3 linked regions of the Oreochromis niloticus genome follow. The protein of the gene in region 3 interacts with the protein of the main gene of each other region in a pairwise test. Links are inferred from orthologs where the notes say so. Each region holds a gene or a part of one and is shown on either strand. Other genes may lie near its edges. The genes, in order: exosc1, ntaq1 and kctd1.

Region 1 (6,569 bases), on a different chromosome or scaffold from region 3:
TACATATGACCTGCATACTTTCCACAGACATTCATCATTCACTCTTATTAACATTTTTGGCACAGGAGTTATTTTGACTATGAGAAATATTCTCCCTCAAGCACATTTGGAAATAAAAAAAGAGGAACTTGGTGTTGACAGTCTCAGCCTTGGAAATGAATTCAGAGTTATGAATCCACAATTATGTAAATGTTGAAGAAAGAAATGACAAGCATGCGCTGGTTGAAAACCACCAGTGTCGGCATAAGAATGTGAAGGATACAACTTTTGCCAAGACGATGTCACCGGGTCTGAAGCTTTTGTATGTCTCTACCTGTAACCAGGAAGAAAAATGGTTACCAATAAACATGTCACCTTATTTTAATAAAAATTATTATATGCAGAAGAAACTAATGAAAGGTGTGAGTGGAAAACAGGAAATCAAACAGACCTTGTCTTTCTCTGTTGCACGCACATCTTCTTTTCTGTAGAGAAACAGAGAGTGAGTTTGTGTTTAGGCCAGAATTTTGTGCATATCCATATTATGTCCACAAAACACCGCCTCACACTGGAGTTAGATCTGTATGGTGGTGGCTATGAGCATCTCGCTCAGCAAAGCAAAATGAAAGAAAATACTTCTGTTAAAATTACTTTTAAAACTTGCTCGACAGTATAATATTTTGAAACCCGTAGCAACCCTAGCGCTGATTCTGAGTCTAGCAATGCTGTCAATGCTGCTGCTCCACCTTCATTTTCTACAACCACCTCCTCAAAACAGGTCTTGCTTTTGGCTGCCTCAGGCCCATCTCACACGATTAGCAGTCTGAAGGTTTGGCATGCATATATGGAGTTTAAGTAGAGACTTTAATGAGTTTATTTCGTTGTTTTTAAATCAACTTATCAGTTTGAGTTGGAAAAAGACTAGCTGGGGAAGTACTGCTGAGAATTACAATTAGATTAATTTTTATTTTGAAAAAAAAAACAATAAAAAAATATGTTTTTGAATTCATCTTAAAATCTGGATGCAGTAATTACTATTTTTATGTTTAGTTCCAATCATAGGATAGCAGCAACTTTAAAAAGGCTTCTTCATTCTTACTTCACCTGCTATTTCTAACAGTTTCTTTACAGAATCAGCTTCAGTGAAGGTTACAAATGAGCTTCTTATGAGTCCTCTTCAGATAGGAAGGTTAACTATGGAGTTCCACAGGGTTCCATTCTAGAATTCTGTTTACATTATACTTGCTTCCCATAGGCAGTACCATTAGAAGACATAGCATACATTTTCACTTATTTTCACGTTATGCAGATAACACTAAACTTTATCTATTCATTCATTTATCTATGAAGCCAGATAACACACAACAATTTGTTAAACTACAAGAATGTCTTAAAGACATACAAACCTGGATGACCTCTAATTTTCTGTTTCTAAATTCAGATAAAACTGGGATTAATGTACTCGGTCCTAACAATCTTTGAAATGCAGTGTCTAACAGATGCTTACTCCGGATAGCATTACCGTGGCCTCCAGTAACACTGTGAGGAGTCTTGGATTGATTTTTGACCAGGATGTCCTTTAATGCACATATTAAACAAAAATGTAAGACGCCTTTCTTCCATTTCCAAAATGAGAAAGATCCTGTCTCAGACTAACGCTGAAAAACTAGTTCATGTATTTATTACTTCTAGGCTGGACTACTATAATTCGTTATTATCAGGATGTCCTAAAACCTCCCTGAAAAGCCTTCAGCTAATCCAAAATGCTGCAGCGAGAGTACTGACAGGGACTAGAAAGAGAGCATATTTCTCGTATATTGGCTTCTCTTTATTGGCTCCCTGTTAAATCCAGAATTGAATTGAAAATCCTGCTCCTCACATACAAGGTCTTGAATAATCAGTCCTCATCTTATCTTATTGGCCACCCTTCCTGAGCCTGTTTTTGCTGTAGGTTTCTTCCTGTTAAAGGGGAGTTTTTCTTTCCCACTATCGCCAAAGTGCTTGCTCATAGGGGATCATATGATTGTTGGGGTTTTCTCTGTTTTCTTTGTGTTATTGTAGGGTCTTTACCTTACAATATAAAGTGCCTTGAAGCAATTGTTATTGTGATTTGATGCTGTATAAATAAAACTGAACAGTCTACAATAAAATATTAGACAAAAACTGGCTCAAATTTTGTGGTTACCTGATCGTGCCTCTAAAGCGGTCCTTCAGTGGGGTGGATCCTACATAAAGGATGTGGACTTTGGCAAATCTGGGATTGATGCTGGTTACCTGTTAAATGAAAAATAAATAAAACAGATTGTAAACTGTGCAAGATTATTTACTCAGAACATGCAGCGATAGTAACAGTTTCTTATTCTATTGCATACCTTACAGGTGACTATTGCTCCTACATCTGGCAGCAGTTGTGTTTCTGTTTCCCTCACAACTGAAATCACTGGTAACTAAGGAGACAAAATAATCCCAGTAGAAGTTATCCATATGATGTGAATATCACCTTAGACAATTACAAAACTAGTTCGCTTACTCACATCAAAAGACATTGCAAAAATACCTTTAGTCTGGCATTTGTACTTGTCTCACTGCTGAACAAACTTTCCCCTCCCCTGTCTTACCCACACCCCTCACCTCCTCTCCCTCATTCTTCCTGAGCACATAGCCTGCTAGTGACGAGTATATGTAGCCATGTCGCAGGTATACTCCTGTGCCAGGAATACAGTCTTCTGAGCTGCATAGTTTGTCACCTAAGTATAAAAAAAGACACAGATGTGTTAGTGTTTGGGTTCTGGAGATGCACTGTTCCTTCTAAAAAAAGAATTAAAATAAAAACATCTTTGCATGAGTCATCACCAAAAATAATCTTTATCTTATACTGGGCTTTGCTCCATGTCTGAACCCAGCCGTTTCACATCTCCATCAACCATCTTTATCTGACTGACTTCCCTTCACAAACAGACAAATTGAACATCCTCCCTCTCTTGAGGACATAACAAAGATCCAAAAGTAGAAAAAAAAAACGAAACTTAGCATTCAGTAGAGTCTGAAGCCTGAGCTACTGGCTTACAGGGATGATCTGTACATATCATTATTTAAAACGTTGCCCATGTTTAATATAAGCATCCACCATTGTAACAGAATATTTTGTTACAATGGTGAACGTAGACTATATAATATATAACTAAAGAATAATAAAAATAATAATAATAATAGTTTCCCTTATTTTGGTTATCATCTGCTAACTGAAACTGAGAGACTAACTGAGGATACTTTGATGTAACAGCATTGTGGGACTAACAGTGTATCTGCAAACCTTAAGCACAAAACACATCATGGACAAGAAGATTAAAACACAAAACATAATTTATGTCATGTGACACAATACTACCCTTCATTTTTCTTGCACTACAATTAATTATCTTGCTACTTTGTGCTCTTTCACCCGTAATTAGAATGAAGTTAAATGTTACTCCTGCAGACAACTCATTTAAGGTTCACTACTGCCATGCGCCGGATAGACCTGCGGCTTTCCCACGGGTGTGACAAAACAAAGCTCAGGAATGCGTTATCTTGCCCGAGGAGATGGGCAGGGCTGAGGATCGGATCTCATCAGCCGTGGAAAGCCAAAGTCAGTAACTCACAGCCCTGCAAATACAGTAAAAGACCATGATACGGTAGGCCTGAAAACCCCGACTCCATCTGACAGTCAGCTGATCCAACATGTGATTGATTGTAAAATAAGTTACTACAGCCTTACAAGTACGGGAAGCCAAAGCCCACTCCACGCATGGCAGCTGGAAATAATCACCAGGGTTTCACACGCTCAGAATGCAGTTTAACTTCCTTTTCTAATAGAAAATGACTCTAAAGCTGTTAAAGCTGTCTACATATCCCAACATACAATCTACACACTGGTATATTTAGTTTTTAAGCGCTTTTAGAGACGAATTTACTGGACTCACCGGGAACGCACAGCTTCATCGGCGACATGTTTTCGAGAGGCGTACGTAGGCAGCCTATTGGTTAGGACTAAGGGCACAGAAAGATTCTGATTGGTCAGTGTCATTCAGCGTCAGCGGAACAAAATGCGTTGATCCGCCATGATTGCTGAGCCACACATGGGCGGGTACGTGCCATGTGTGCATTACTATATGATTGAATAAGTCATATATGGTCAGATAATTATGAAATACTGCTGCGAGATACTGCAAAATTTGGTAGCAATCTGATGCTAAAGTATCGGACACCAGTACCAGCATTCTTATTGATACTATTGATATTGGTATCAATCTACCCACCTCTGCTATGAAAGTTAGCTACTTCCAGTATTGGGATTTCCTAGGTTTATTACTTCCCTACAATGTAAATTAAATTGTCGATGCTTTTATTCAAAATCTGTTTCTCTGAGCATGGTTTTAAAAGAATCATATAATCGGAAAATTGCCACCGAGCAGCCATTTTTTCAAAATAATCATGTTTATCATAGTCCTGTTACGGTGCATCTCAAACCTTCGAGAAAATAAAAAAAAAGACTTGCCCCCATCCCACAAACTAAAACACTCTCTCATATTTTGGATTGGTTGCAGTTTACAAAACTAAGTATCTGAGCCTCCTGTGAAATGTGCTAATCTATGGATGCATATAAGAAATACAAATATGTTTAACCAACAGAACAGCTGCTGAAGTAGCAGTTACTGTGACAGAAAAGGGAGAAACAGGGACTGTCACATAATTAATTACAACAAACTTTTAATTTCTGCCAATCGCATTTACTTAGTGAGGGAACTGGATAAAGTGCATTTCAATATTTGCCTTTTACTGAGACAAATTTCTCAATTACCATATAAAAAAAAAGTGCAGTTGTCCTGGAAAAAAAAAAAAAAGACATCACACACAGTACACTGCATAATGACTCACAACATTTATTCATTTTTAAGCACAATGCCACAGCAAACAATATTCAGCAGTCTAGAGCAAATCTGCTCTCTCTTTAACAAAGCCAGTGTAACTTTTGGTTTTTCCTGCTTCCGCTGCGCTTCATCTACATGGATTGTAAATTGGAAAGAATACTTGGAACTCTGCTGGGGTAGTCTGTTTGCTGGTCCCTAATTTATATTTGGTCAGTGCTTAAACCACATTACAACTGATATCCACAGTCTAATAATGAAATGCATGTTTCAGTATGTAACAAAGTAAAGAGCAGTCAAATTAAACATCAGATTGTACATTTTTGTGAAAAATGGGTGGTATTAAGATAAAGTGCACATTCTGTGTCTACCTGTCCTCAAGTCTGTGATGACACAAACAGTAAATGACCCTTTCACAACTTGATGGGGAAAGAAAAAAAAAAAAAAAAAAAAAAAAGCAGATGATGATTCTTTACTCCCAAAGGAAGGACAAGTCTATTTCTTGGCTTTGCCCTGAGCAGCCACAGCTTCCATGGCTTTCTTTACAGTCTCCTCATCTCCCAGGAACTGCATGGGCCCAATAGGCTTCAGGTTCTTGTCCAGCTCATACACGATGGGGATGCCTGTGGGCAGGTTCAGCTCCATGATGGCCTCCTCTGACATACCTATGAAAAAAAAAATGACAGACACAGAGCTGTAATTCATTTGCATGTAGCTGCTGCTGCTGCTTTAGACCGCGTTAAAATGTTTGACAGCAGATGGTAGCTTTGTATGACAAACGCATGATTGTTAAACTCTTATGTTAAAATTCACAACTTAAGAACTAAAATAAACCTGCTTGGAACAGATAATACTGCCTATCCCTCAGCCTGCTAGTAGATACAGAAATAGTATAAAATGTGACCTATGACCTTGACTTTGAGTTCAAGGTCACAGATTCAAACTCAAGGTCAAGGTCCTGGTGACCTTGACCTTGAGGTCAAGGTTACCAGGACTCAAACTTGCCTGAGATTTTTAGTAGATGCCTCTATGGTATAATTTCAAAAACCAACATTGTGTAACTCTAAAGTTATCACAGTCATAAGTTTGCACTAGTTTGCACTACTAGGAATGTAGTCACATTAATTCACATGCGGTGGCCACCTAGACCAATAACTATCTGCTAGTTAAGCCACTGCAACAGCTAATAACTTAGCACTCTACGCTCTTGTCTATAAGATAATTTCTGACTTCCCTAAAACCCAAATGGATGATATCAAGTTCATAGGCCTTTATGAAGGTTTAGCAGGTACCCCAATTCATTGTTGACTCATAGTAAGTGAAATAACACTGAAAGGTGTTTTTAGTGCTGAGAAATGTTTCACAAGTTTCTCTTTTCCTTACCCTCCAGGTGCTTGACAATGCCGCGGAGACTGTTGCCATGGGCAGCAATCAACACCCTCTTTCCTTCCTTGATCTGTGGAACAATCTCTTCATTCCAGAAAGGAAGTGCCCGAGCAATGGTGTCCTTAAGACTCTCACAGCTAGGGAGCTGGTCCTCTGTCAGGTCAGCATAACGTCGGTCCTACAGGGAAAAAGAAGAAGTCGGTGTTGTCAAAATAGTTTCAGCAACGCAGGGTTACATTGATGCAATAACGAAAAGAGTCAACTTGTCACAATTTCCCCGAGCTGCTTAATACCTTG
Region 2 (6,569 bases), on a different chromosome or scaffold from region 3:
GACTTGGACTCGAGTCGGACTCGAGTCATTAATTTTATGACTTTAGACTTGACTTGAAAAAAGGTTGTAAGACTTGTGACTTGACTTGGACTTTTACACCAGTGACTTGGGACTTGAATTGGACTTGAACCTGTTTACTTGAAAAGACTTGATATTTTACCCAAATCTAAAATTTAACATACATATTATATAAAAAGTGCGGACCATTAATTCACTTTATTCATTCATTCATTCTTACCACACTCCGTATGTATGTGAGCGTGGGCTGTAGCACAGCCAATCAAATTAACCAGATTTGAAAAAAACAAGAACAAAAACGCTCGAGCCAAAAATGCTTCCAAGAGTAATTTCTTTCGGGTACATAAACTACGAAGTAGTCAACAAAAAACGAAATGCAATATGCAAAACATGCAAGAAGAGAATCACAGACGGAGATGGAACAACTTCCAACTTTGTCCGACATTTGAAGTTGCATAAAGAACGGTAGGTGGTGCTTTTTTTTTTTTGCTTTTTTTTTGCTACGATGAAATAGCTGACTTAGCTAACTTCATCTTATTAGCAAATGTTCTTCGGGCTACGTTGATGATACTGTTTGGCTTTAACAGGTATGATATGTTTGTCATGCTATTTTAAATCCGGTCCTGCAAGCGCATCCAAGAATAACATGCAACTTGTTAGCTCAGAATTGTCGGTGAATGGTGAGCAGGGTCCGTTTCAGAAAGTGGGTTCTGTAGCTGTACTCAGTCTCTCTCCGTCTCCTCCCCATCATTAACCCCGTAGATTTAACCCAGTTTAGACGGACAAATATTTATTTTACCATCACATCACAATTCAAAATCACTGTTTAATTTGCAATTAGTGTATGGTCGTGTTTAACTTTTGCATGTCTGAGCCAGGGAAAAAATTTTTTTGGGTTAGAAAATCTGGCCCACCTTAGTGTGTAATTGAGTAGTCCTGCTATACATGGCCTTTTTCTTCTGTCATTTATGTCAATACATCAAATAAAATACTTTGATCTTATATTATTAGCTGTTGTTTATTTGCAAAGGTTATTCTCAACAGGGATGCTAGACAAAAACGGCGTTTTCTACAGACAGCCTAGCATACGCTCTCCACTTGCGAGTGAAAACAGAAAAAGAAAAAACACCCCTTCCCTATTGGTGTTAGAGTTTACCATGTCAGCCAATCAAAAAAATGATAAGGCAACATGTGACATTTGGTTGTTTAGGGAGAAGGGGAAGTTTTTAGGAGTGACACCCGTGACGGAAAGCGGGCGAGCGAAAGAAAGAGAGAGAGAGAGTTTTCATATGTGAGACATTAGTGACGTTTAGCGTGTTTGGAGGCTATAGTTAGTTTGTTGTATAGTTATTGTTTTGTATTGTGTGTCGGTTAGACTGCTGAATTTCATATTTGATCTAAAAAAGCTGTCAAAGGCAGATTCCAGTGTAAACGCTGTCTCCACATAGAAAACTGGACTGTTGCACCTCCAGTTGTCAGACCTGCAGGGTTTAGGCCTGTGGTGTTCTCCTCTGTCTTATACTGAACACAAACTACATTTTTTGGACTGGCACAAATAATTTGTGTGCCTTCTTATTTGATGCAGCACACCTGATTGTTCTGTAAATAGATTTAAATGGTTATATAAAAAACGCCTGAGGCCTTGGCTGCATTTTTAGGTAAATAGTACCATATAACTTTGTTGTTTGCAAAACTTGTGCATAATTTTTAGAAATGTACAATTTCTATTTGCATTTCAAGTTATGAAAATGATTCGTTAAACATGTAAAAAAATATAACTTTTTTCTACTCGGATTCTGAATTTTTTGTCTGAATTTAGATCAACTGTGCTAATATAGTATACCAAAATGAAAAAAATAACTCAAATTTCAGATATTTGAGGTTGTGCTGTAAATAATGATACCAAACAAGGCAAGAAAAACATATTTTAAAAGTGAAATATAGAAGTAAAATCAAAAGTAGTCAAGAACGGCCAATTATACCCGGGACCCCAGAGGGTTAAAAAAAAAAGACTTGAAAGGACTTGAAATTCAAAGTTTCGGACTTGGGACTTGACTTGAAAGTTGTCTGTCTTGACTTGCGACTTGACTCTGACTTGCTTGACTTTACTTGAGACTTGACTTGTGACTTGAGGATAAAGACTTGGGACTTACTTGAGACTTGCAAAACAATGACTTGGTCCCACCTCTGGTTGTATGGGCTCAAAATGTGGTCATAAATATTTTGTACTTGTAAATCAGTTTTGTACTTGTAAATCAGGATTTGTATGTGTAAAAAGAATTTGTGCGTGCATAAAAAAGATTTGTATGTGTAAAAAAGATTTGTGTGTGGACTTAGCCAAAACCCCCCCTGCAAGTTACAAGTATGAATTTGGACCCTATTTTTCTTCCTGTCATCTGATTGGTCAATGTCATGTCAATCACAAATGTAACAATCCAATCAGAGAACAGATGGGTTTGGCTGTCGGAGGGGCACTTTTTTGAACTGCAGGTCCTTGAAGGGAATAAATGCCCTTTTATATGCCAACCCAGCGTTTTCCTTCATCACCACGAAGGAAAACAGTCTGTGGTCGTCCGAGTTTGGTGATTTTTGTGTCACAGGTCTACGTGCTTAATACAGGGACTTCCACAGCCTTTTCAACAGCGCTGCGGACCGGGGGGGGGGGGGGGGGGGGGGGGCAGTGTTTTGGAAATGACAGTCTTCATTACAAAGCTTTCTTCGTTATGAATTAGCATACATGTTTTTATTGAACATTTGAAGAACTAGCAAAAAAACCAGAAACTGTGGTAGAGGACATAAAGTCAGAGATAGAAACGACAAGGAGCAGGTGCATCTAGTACAGGTAGAGCTGCTGCAAAAACCCACAGAGCTCAGCAGCCAGCGCAACAAATTCTGGATCCTTTGCTTTTAGTTAGCAGTTAGCATTAGCAGCACATCCTGCGTCCGATGTGAAAGGACCTTTATGCTGCGCACTGTGACTCACAGCAATGGTCCCGGGTCAGCCCTGACTTTGTGTTAAACTAATCCTAAAGTAATAATGGTATTTCTAACCACTGACATACCACAACTTTATCCTTTCAACAGCTGCTGAAAGTAAGGGGACCTAGCTGCTATCGGATATTTATATAGAGATCCTCCAGCTTCAAACTGTATTACCCTTCAAGGACCTGCAGTTCAAAAAAGTGCCCCTCCGACAGCCAAACCCATCTGTTCTCTGATTGGATTGTTACATTTGTGATTGGCATGACATTGACCAATCAGATGACAGGAAGAAAAATAGGGTCAAAATTCGTACTTGTAACTTGCAGGGGGTTTTTTGGCTGAGTCCACACACAAATCTTTTTTACACATACAAATCTTTTTTACGCACGCACAAATTCTTTTTACACATACAAATCTTTTTTACACATACAAATCTTTTTTACGCACGCACAAATTCTTTTTACACATACAAATCTTTTTTACACACACACAAATCTTTTTTACACATACAAATCTTTTTTACGCACGCACAAATTCTTTTTACACATACAAATCCTGATTTACAAGTACAAAACTGATTTACAAGTACAAAATATTTATGACCACATTTTGAGCCCATACAGTTGACGCGACACAAAGTAAACTGCACGCTTGAAATCTGTGTAATAAAATGTATGAGGGGAATGATAACGAAGACAAGATTTTCCAGATCGTTGACTCTTGCTGTCTAGTGAACAGCATTGTGACGTTTGTCTTGTATTATGTTCATATGGACATAAAGTCAGAGAGATACATGTTTTGAAAAGACTAGGAGCAGGCGCATCTAGTACACGTAGGGCGGCCGCAATAAAGGACGTACCAGCAGAGCGCAGAGGCCAGCCAGCGCAACACGTAGGTCCTTCCCTCTAGTTAGCGGTGAGCGGAGCGCAAGCCGCGTCCGCTGTCTGGGAGGATTATTCCTTACAATGATATTGTGATTTTTATTCTTATACTGACAAATTTTTTAAAAAAAAAACAAAAAAAAACTGCGCTAAAAGGAAAACGGAAATCTGAACTGGCCAATCATAGTGGTTGCAGCTCCTTTGACAAGGCGTGTGTTTATAATTCTCAGGAGCCAAGTAACGTCAGGTAATGTTCTGACACAGAGCCTGCACGGTCACCTCTGGGAGGTATGTCGGGACTCACCAGTAGCAGCTCGTGTACACGCAGTCCTCGCGCATCGGAACGAGTCTCCGATTCATGATCGGGTGTTACACTGAAAGAGCTCCAAGGGAAACGGACTGACACCAAATCCGCTAAGGAAAGTGGACTTTCAAATTAAAAGCATCGACAAACTGGGGTCCAACTGCTAATTTAACTTCGCTGCCGCCACAAGAAATGAGCTTCAGTGCTCCCTTAGTTACCTCCTTTATTTGTGACGCTGAAGCATCCTTCATGAAAGGAGAACATCGTTTATAGCAAAGTACCATAAGAGAAACAAACTGACCTCTGAACCTGTTAGCTAGCTTAGATTTTCAGAGAATAACTAAACTTTAGCAGTATACAGTCTCCCATCACTCAACTCCTTCTGCTCAGCACCATAAATCATCAGAAAATAATTGAAATACAAACTCAAAAATGTATTTTTGTAATAAAACATTTCGGCTTTTTTTTTTTTTTGAAGACTTGTCAAATCTCTAAGGAATTTTTATTTTTGTAAACATCTGCACTGCAAATTTCACAAGTTTTATTAGATTTGAGATAAAATACTTAATTTATACATTTAACTGAACAAATCTGTTCATGTCAAATTGATTATACGGTTAACTAAAAATTATATGAATGAAATTTTTTCACTGAAATATAAATAAAACCCAGACAGATCTGGATCATCACTCCAGAAACTAATTTAAAACAAACTAACGAGCAAATCGAAAACCAGAATAACTGGTGAAATGGGCGGGCTTGACAGGGGGTCCAGGCTCCTCAGCTAACTCTGTAAAGATGGCTGCCATGATATCTGAACTTAACATCTTAGACCTGATCGATCACCCACAAACAGCCAATTAGGCATGTTTTTATTCATCTTTAATGGCCCTAGACAGGAAAGGGATGTCACACTGCTGATCAATGTCAGCTCCTTTCACCAGACTGACAGCAGACACACACACACTCAAAAACAGTTCAGTTTATTCAAAAAGGAACTGACATCACAGCAAGGAAAACAGTGAGGCAAGAACATTGTGTCTGAAAGTAAAAACATTAGGAAAACGGCATCTGTGGTTGCTAAGCACGTTGCTATGTGAAGAGGCGGATAGTAGCATCGGCGCCAGAGGAGAAGACCCAGGGTTGCGTGGGGTGAAAGGTCACATCCAGAACACCGAGATCATGAGTCATCACATGACCTCTGAGGACTTTCACTGGGACGATGAGTGGATTCTGCAACAGGTCACTGTGGGGGTAGCAAGGAGGGTGGGGTTAGAGTGCAACTGAGAGGAGGAAAAATAAGTGCGCGTGTGTGTGTGTGTGTGTGTGTGTGTGTGTTTTACTTGTAAACAGTCCCATGACAGACGATCACTGAGCCATCATCGGACGCCGAGGCAAACAGCGGGTACAGTCTGTGATAGGCCACACCCCTCACTGCTTTCTTATGGTGTCTGTAGAAAGAAGGTGATCCATATCACATGATAAATGATTAAAAAAAAAACCAAAAAAAACCCCACATCTGATCAATATGTAGTATTCTACAATCAATGATACACCAATATCAGTGCCCTGATTGAGTAAACACACTTCCACATACAACATACATCCTCACCTTCCTGGTGCAGGTCTGACTGAAATCTTATATTTCCTAAACTCCTGCACCTGCTAGGCTGTGAAGGCACTGCAGATCTTTTTTTTTTTTTTCTTCTTCTTTCTTTCTTTCTTTCTTTCTTTCTTTCATTTAAACAATGCTGCTTTATGTACAATTCAGCTCTGGCTATGCAAAATTCTGTTGGCAGCAATGTATAAAATGTGAAAAATACAAGCTGAACACAAGAGGGAGCATTATAAAATAAAGAGCTATAATCATTTTAAAACCGGGATACCATACAAATAAACTACATGGCAGTTCAGAATAGAGAGTAATTCACACTTTTCTTAGGTTTAAAGGTAACCCAGACACCTCAGAAAATATGTGGATTTTGTTGATGACAAGAGGGATTTGTTCTGACCTTTTGAGGAAAACTGTAGTATCATCTGCCAGCTGAGTGCTTAGGTCTATACATGTGACATTGTGATTTTCATATAGTGAAACGTTCTTTAAAACAAACTGAGGTTGCATGAAAACACTCTGTAGGTTAGTGCAGGATAGACAGGTTAAACAGTGCACTGTCAGTGTGAAGGATGGCAATTACCCAGGACAACTCAAACTCACAAAACACTTGTTAAATTCAGGTGTGTAAAGAGCAGTAAACCTCAGGGCAGCAGCAGTAGCCCAGATCAGCTGATCACAGCCTGTGGACTAAGAAAATGTACTGGAGCTTTCAACAGAAATGATTGTGAACTGTGATTGTTTTCCTCACACTGAACTACTGCAACAAGCC
Region 3 (6,569 bases):
AATAAACCCTAGTCGAGACACCACTCAGGAAAAATTACAAAAGATCCAAAGTAGAGAAGATACAGGGCGACGTGTAACACAGGGTTGCATGGGGTAGAGGAGCAGATCCTTTACTCACAGCACTGCAGGGCCTAAACTGCACCACATTCCAGTTTTCACATGATCCTCTCAACATCTACTCACTGAGCATATGGCCTTAGCTTGAACTTAGTCTTGTCTTTTGCCTTTGCTTATTTTAACTGACATACTTTTTGCACAGTGGACAGTCCATCTGATAATGTGGTTATTTGTTTTCTCCCAGGGCAAGTTCAGTAATTATTGCTTAAACATTTGAGGGGGGGTGGGGGTTCTTATGTGCCACATACAGTGACAGGCACCTTGGATGGACACTTGGCACAAGAACATAGAGAGCTGCAGAAAAAAAGCATATCGTATGGCCATGGGTGTCAGTATAATTGTTTCAGTACGAGCCTACTGTTTTACTTATGTATTGCAAAAGAATCTTTGCCAGCTCGTAGCTAGAAGGGATCAAACTGCATCTCTTGATGAGGAAATGCTTTGCAATTGGGGTTTGTTTGGTAGAGCCCTGATATTTTCTCTCCAGCATGTGAACCATTTTCAGTAACTCAGGGAGGACCAGTGACCAAAGGCGTTCCACGGCCTTAGCATTCATTGTGTGTGTTAAGTTGTAGGACTGCTGACTGGCTGATGGGAATTTACAGTTTCTAGGATGGGCATCGACTTACTTTGAAGTCGTCGGGGATGAGGAGCTTGGACGTCCTGAGGAAGTTGAGGATGTAGCGGAACATGTGTCCATCCCTGTCAATGAAGTAGTGCTGCTTCAGGCTGTCCAGGACTATAGGCTCTGTGCCATCAAAGAGACGACCAATTCTGCCCGTAAGAGAGAGAGAGGAGGGGTGGTGATTTAGGCAGAAAGGGAGGTAAGGAAGGAAGAAGGAGAACAACATATCAGGATTAAGAATTCTATCCTTTGTTTTTTTTTGTTGTTGTTGTTTTTTTACACTCACAAACAAAAGCTTGTAACAATTTTTAAAGCCTAAACTTGATCTCACTAAATCTATCTTAAAGAAAGAAAGAAAGGTGGTCCGGAGAGGTCAAGACCAGCTGGTGCTTGGTCGCCTGAGGCAGGGAGGCAGTCACCCCCGGGCCTGTGCTCGGAGCGACAGTGTGGCCTCCCAGCCTCCAGATGGCTCCATGCCCTTTGGCTCTTTACTGCTGCTGTGACATCTGTCAGAATAACCAAGTTGCCTTTGTCTGCACTCTGCATTCTGCACTTAAAGCGCTCACAAATTGTTTACCCCTTTAAAATAGCAGAGTTTTACAAAATGTGACATCTGACCATCACGTTACAACAATAACCAATAAACAACAAACTGCGAGGAAATTCTGACAAAAACCATCAGGCTCCAGCAGAAAACATCCCTGGTAAAACACACAATACATGCAAAAATCCTGCCACAAATGGTTATCCCTGACCCTGGATCTTAACCTTCCCCCTCCACTTAAAATACATCTGTATGGCAGGGCAAACTCACCGAGATTCTGGAAATTTTGTTAAGGTGGCCAGACTGCTGGTGTACATGTGCCCACCTACATCGATGTGCACAGGAGCATTGGACTTGGTGAGCTGAGCAGGTGTTGGGATGCCCTGGTTACTCAAGGGAGACACCGGTGACCGTGTGATCATGGGCCTGGACATGCTGGAGCGATTATCCTGAGGGAGCACAAAGGAAATGCATGTAGGAAGACACATTAGATTGCAATCTTCTGCTGCAAATGAAACAGACAATTAAAACAAGTCTGGGGAGGATGGACAAAATTAGTATATTAGGAAAGAAAAAAGAAAGAAAGGCTAATAAGAGACAACAATCTGTGCATTTCTTTAGTCTAATATATTCTGCAGTCAGGAGTGGAGAGGAAGGGTGGGTTTTTTTTCTTGTTACCCTTTTCTGTGCAAGATAGAGCAGCCCGACCTTGACCTGAATGTTGCCACAATCCACAAGCATCCACTCCTGTGGGCCATAATCTCCAAAACCAAATTAATTTGGAGCATCAATCTCAGTCATGAAAATGAGCAATAATGATTCCTGATTTGAATACTATAATAGGATTTGGAGAATAACGTCTCATGATAACCTACAAACACCATTAGGAGACGATTTCTGTTAAGCTCTGAGATGAAAAATGACTTTATACCCGAAAAAGTTTGAGAAGACTGGAGAAAATCTCGAAAGTGTCCTGATCACTAAGGAGTGGGCAGGACATTAGACACATCTTCTTTAAAAAACAAATTAAAAAAAAACGTGAACTCAAGACATACATTTAACAGTAAATTGCACAAGAAGGACTGTCTGACACTATGTGCGCAGTCTACGGTTGAGGGCATCGAGGAGATGATTTGTTTGATTCGGTAAATTAAAAAAAACACAAAACAACCAAAAAACAAAGTGTCCGGCACTTCGCCCCATAAAGTCGAAAGTTAAATCGCTCTCCCCCTCCCCAGACAACACGACACTTTTACGCGTTTACCTGCGCCGGCATCACTGTGGTTGGAGAGGAAGTCACCGAATGGTCATTTTGCTTCAGAGATGCTGCGGGAACGGGCTCTCCTCTGACAGCGAACATCAGCGAGCTCTCCCTGCACTCCGCCGCTCGGATCGGGAGCCGTTTGAGGGAAGCGTGCACGGACTCATCCACGGAACTGATTGGACGCGGTCGCTTTCTCGCCTTCTGATGCGTTAAGTCCATGATATCCGTTTCGTCCATTACGGCTCAGACGTTTAGGGTTAAAGAGATAGGAGAAAGCGGTGAGGCTTTTTTTTTTCACCCTCTCCAACACACCTGCCAAAAATGAAGAGGCGTGAAAAAAAATAGCGAGCACCGGGGGTGAGAGCGAAAGCCGTTGCTGTCACACGGAGCGGCTTCTTTGCAGTGGCTGGGAGAAGTCAAAGCCCCCGACAACATTAGCATTGTAGTGCCCGCGGCTCTTTTGGGCTGTCGCTGTTTCAGTGGCAGGTATGTGTGTCGCATTTTCGCGGAATGAAACAAATCCTGCCTTAGCCTGCAAAATGCGATCGTCTGCTTATAATGCGATTTGGGTTAACACGCCACATCTGGACCTTGAACAGCTGGCCTTTGCCCCCCTTTTCGGAGCAGTGTTTCCACGCGCGACCACTTCCCCCCCACCCTACACGTTGCTGCCCATTGTTCAGCAGCAGTTTTTGTTCAGCCTTCCAACACATCAGTCGAACAAAGTTGAGTCTGTGACAAATCCGAAACAGTGGCCAACCTTCTCAATCACATGGACAAAAAAAGAAAAAAAATACCCCTGCAATAGCCCATTCAAAAAAAAAAAAAACCTTCCCCCACCCATACACACACTTACCAGCCATAAGCACCTGATTGATTGTGAGCTTTCCAGTCACCCAAAAGCAGTCAGGAACATCACTCTTTTATTTTTTAGATGACCAAATGCATTCTGAATATGATGTTTTAACGGAAAAGACTCTTCACTATTTACAGGCTGCAAGATGTTATCAATAACTCAAACGTCCTTGAGGTCAGCAAAGAAACACTGCATGTGAAGTACCAGCTAACACCCCTTCAAGTCAACGGTATGACCCTCAGAGCAGACGCAGACAGCAGCTATAAAACTTCTTCATCTGTTTCTCCCTGGCTCTGTGTCTGACAAGTGTTAGAGCTGCGGTGCGGTGTGGTGTTAACACCACCTCCAGTGACCACATCAGCATTGCAAAGCTACCACACTAATGATATCGTGGAGTATAAAACCAGACCACAACATGTCCAATTGCGGTTAAAAGTACTGCCACAGCACTCTCCTGGGTTGTTTTTTTTTCCCGCAGAAGAAATGTAGGGAATCCACAATTTTTAATAACATTCAGATTAAAATTAATTAGTTCAACCACTGGCCTTAAAACATCCACATTCCTGTTTCTCATTGGCAGTGTGAGTTTCACACCTAGATACCCAATTAGCAATTAAGCTTGCCTTTGAGTGTAGGCCTCCAATGCGGTGTGTGATCCTGGTCTGATTTGCATGCCACTTGTGCACGCGCTGATAAGCGCAGGCAGCAGCCATACATAGTTTTAAAATTCAACTCCAGAATCCCTCGCAGAAGGCAAAGGGGCCTGCGGGGCAAAAGAGAGAGAAATCACATGGCTGCTCTTCAAAAGGGGACCTGTGTAAGGCAGCCGGCAAAGTGCGTGGGATCACACTCAGAATGCAGGTAATTTGTTCCCTGACTAATTTGTGGAGATGGTGGTGTGTGTGTGTGTGTGTGTGAGAGAGCGAGTGAGTGAGAGAAAGTGTGTGCCTGTGGAGAGTAAGTTCTGAAAACAGCTTGGTGGAATTGGATTTCCTCAAAGCCTTGTCATTGCAAAGGTGGATTGAGTGTAAAATCTGTGAGGCATTATGGAAAATTGCAGGGGAGAAAGAAGAGAGAGTGAAAGAGAACGGGTGGTTGGGTGGGTGGGAAGTGGAGGGTTGGGAGCTGGAGGGAGCCAGTTGAGGGAATGAGCTCTCATATCACAAAATCATCCCGAGTTGCTGGAAATACAGACGTGTCGTGAACCTTTCGTCGGACCCGCGTCTACGTCAAATTTGTTGTAGCTCAAAATCGGTTCAAAGGTCACAGCGTCCTCAGAATCCACAAGTACGAATCCTGAGATGTGCCACACGAGCGCTTTTCCTACCTGTTGCCATTTTGAATTTGGCACAGAGGTACAGAAGTCTCCCATGCATGTTAGGATGTTTGCGAAAGAAGTCAAAACGTATGTGTTTAGGGAATCTGTTCGTTTATCCAGCTCGTGTAATTTTGTTGCACCACAGCATGCACAAACAAATCTAAAACAGGCGCAGAGCATCAAAGCCCGGAGCAGTCGAGCTACTCCCTTTTGTTTCTGTTGTTTTTCACCAGTTTTCTTTCAGGCCTTTAATGCAAGACCATCTTTCTTCAAACTTTAAGGAACAAACACCATACAGTAGCTGGGGTTGAATGTTTAAGAAATAGCAGGGTATGTTTTCCACTAATAATTAATCCAAAAACATGGAAAGCAAGGATCTGTCTGCTGTTGTCATAATTGAGGGGCCTTCTGGGGTTCAGCATATGTAACAGACTAACTTTAAGTTGGCCATCCCAGAATGCAACTCTTCACTGTTTCGACATATCTCACAAGATACAATTAGCATTTCAGATCAGAGCATTAACATTCAGTTCAAGGCAGGCAGACTGGTATTTACATAATCTGGATGGGTTGTCTCAGCTTTGTTGCCTGTGGCCATTTGTTTGAAATGTCCATACACAGACAGCTACAAACTCTGGGTTAACATCAGTTGCCGCTAGCTGTATATATAAAATATATATGAAAAAGGTAATGATGAACTGTTATAACAGCATGGTTTGGGTAAAAACTGTAAGCTAGATCAAATACATATCCCACTGGACTTTGTATACTTTGTAAATATAAAGTAACTGCATGCTGCAGCAAAGCTAAAATACTGCATTTCAATAAAACTTTTGTCATTGTCATTATTGTTTTTGCATTCACATCTTTGTCTTTGTCTCCAAACTGACTCCACGTCTTACACTTAACAGTAAAGGGATTATTTGGTATGTTTTGGATGACCTGTGGAAATGTGTTTAGTATGAAAAAGTACTAAGGCATTTAATGAAAGAATGAAGAGGTTGCCCACACAAACACAAACACATCACCACATTTGAACACACTACGCAAACCTGTACTTTAAAGCATCTTGTTGAGTTCATGTGTAGTCACCTTTTCAATTTTTGGCTGTAACATGCATAAAAATAATCATTTCCAGTACAGCACGGTGGTCCGGATAAGCTTTGATTCTCCACACGATCAAGAATTTCATACACAGCTGTTAACTATAAAACAAGCCATAGTAGTGCTTACTTATTTATCAACCAGGAACACACAATTACTCCCTCAGTTTTCTCAGACTTACTTATCTACTTGAAAATGATTCTTTGTGGAGTTACTGGAGCTGTACATCAGCATGACATCACGGATAAGGAAGTGTGATCAGTGCTGTGTTGCCGCAGGCTGTTAGAGACTGTAGTGCATGTTCACTGGCACAGAGCAAACTATCCCAGGGCATAGGAGTGGCAGAGCCACTACAAAAATACAATAACAGCATTTCTCTCCTAGCGTTCCAATCGAGCAAGCAAAGATGAAGTTCAGACCGATCCTGTAGTTTCACTAATGCGATTCTGGCTTGTTTTGTTAAGTGTCTTCTTTCAGCTCAGAGCTCTGTTTGTAAATCTACTGTCACTGTGAAACAGATGAACCGAAGCACTATATACAGTTCTTTTTTTCCCCTTTTCCTTTTTTTTTATTTTATTTTTTAACAGCGCCATCAGGTGATCGGTCTTGACAACCAAACATCTCAGTCCCATTCTTTTTATTCATTCACCCCCTGGAACTCGTGAAACTGGCTAAGGGCTTCATTACAGGTGACCAGAGCTGGATTTGAGTATTCTCCCTGGGGTCCAGTGGTAGATGTTT

The links.
Region 1: the proteins of kctd1 (region 3) and exosc1 interact in binary tests that used the Homo sapiens proteins (3 or more experiments, as listed by UniProt). The two-hybrid records come from large-scale screens. The link is inferred for Oreochromis niloticus from reciprocal best matches to the Homo sapiens genes KCTD1 and EXOSC1.
Region 2: the proteins of kctd1 (region 3) and ntaq1 interact in binary tests that used the Homo sapiens proteins (3 or more experiments, as listed by UniProt). The two-hybrid records come from large-scale screens. The link is inferred for Oreochromis niloticus from reciprocal best matches to the Homo sapiens genes KCTD1 and NTAQ1.

Annotation. Positions count from the first base shown.
Region 1 is NC_031971.2:31,386,797-31,393,365, forward strand, and holds the start of exosc1 (exosome complex component CSL4), read right to left. Parts: upstream 3,704-6,569; 5' UTR 3,679-3,703; coding exon 3,621-3,678; intron 3,515-3,620; exon of another isoform or gene 3,375-3,514; coding exon of another isoform or gene 3,368-3,374; intron 2,727-3,367; coding exon 2,611-2,726; intron 2,427-2,610; coding exon 2,352-2,426; intron 2,254-2,351; coding exon 2,165-2,253; intron 465-2,164; coding exon 431-464; intron 314-430; coding exon 263-313; intron 1-262. Other genes in the region: pgam1b (phosphoglycerate mutase 1b), read right to left, coding at 5,382-5,551, 6,270-6,450, 6,566-6,569. UniProt on the Homo sapiens protein: Non-catalytic component of the RNA exosome complex which has 3'->5' exoribonuclease activity and participates in a multitude of cellular RNA processing and degradation events.
Region 2 is NC_031985.2:36,119,335-36,125,903, forward strand, and holds the start of ntaq1 (protein N-terminal glutamine amidohydrolase), read right to left. Parts: upstream 4,336-6,569; 5' UTR 4,242-4,335; coding exon 4,186-4,241; intron 1-4,185. Other genes in the region: ribosome biogenesis protein bop1, read right to left, coding at 5,278-5,431, 5,529-5,636. UniProt on the Homo sapiens protein: Mediates the side-chain deamidation of N-terminal glutamine residues to glutamate, an important step in N-end rule pathway of protein degradation.
Region 3 is NC_031982.2:17,123,814-17,130,382, forward strand, and holds the start of kctd1 (BTB/POZ domain-containing protein KCTD1), read right to left. Parts: upstream 3,261-6,569; 5' UTR 2,788-3,260; coding exon 2,551-2,787; intron 1,736-2,550; coding exon 1,557-1,735; intron 892-1,556; coding exon 747-891; intron 1-746. UniProt on the Homo sapiens protein: May repress the transcriptional activity of AP-2 family members, including TFAP2A, TFAP2B and TFAP2C to various extent.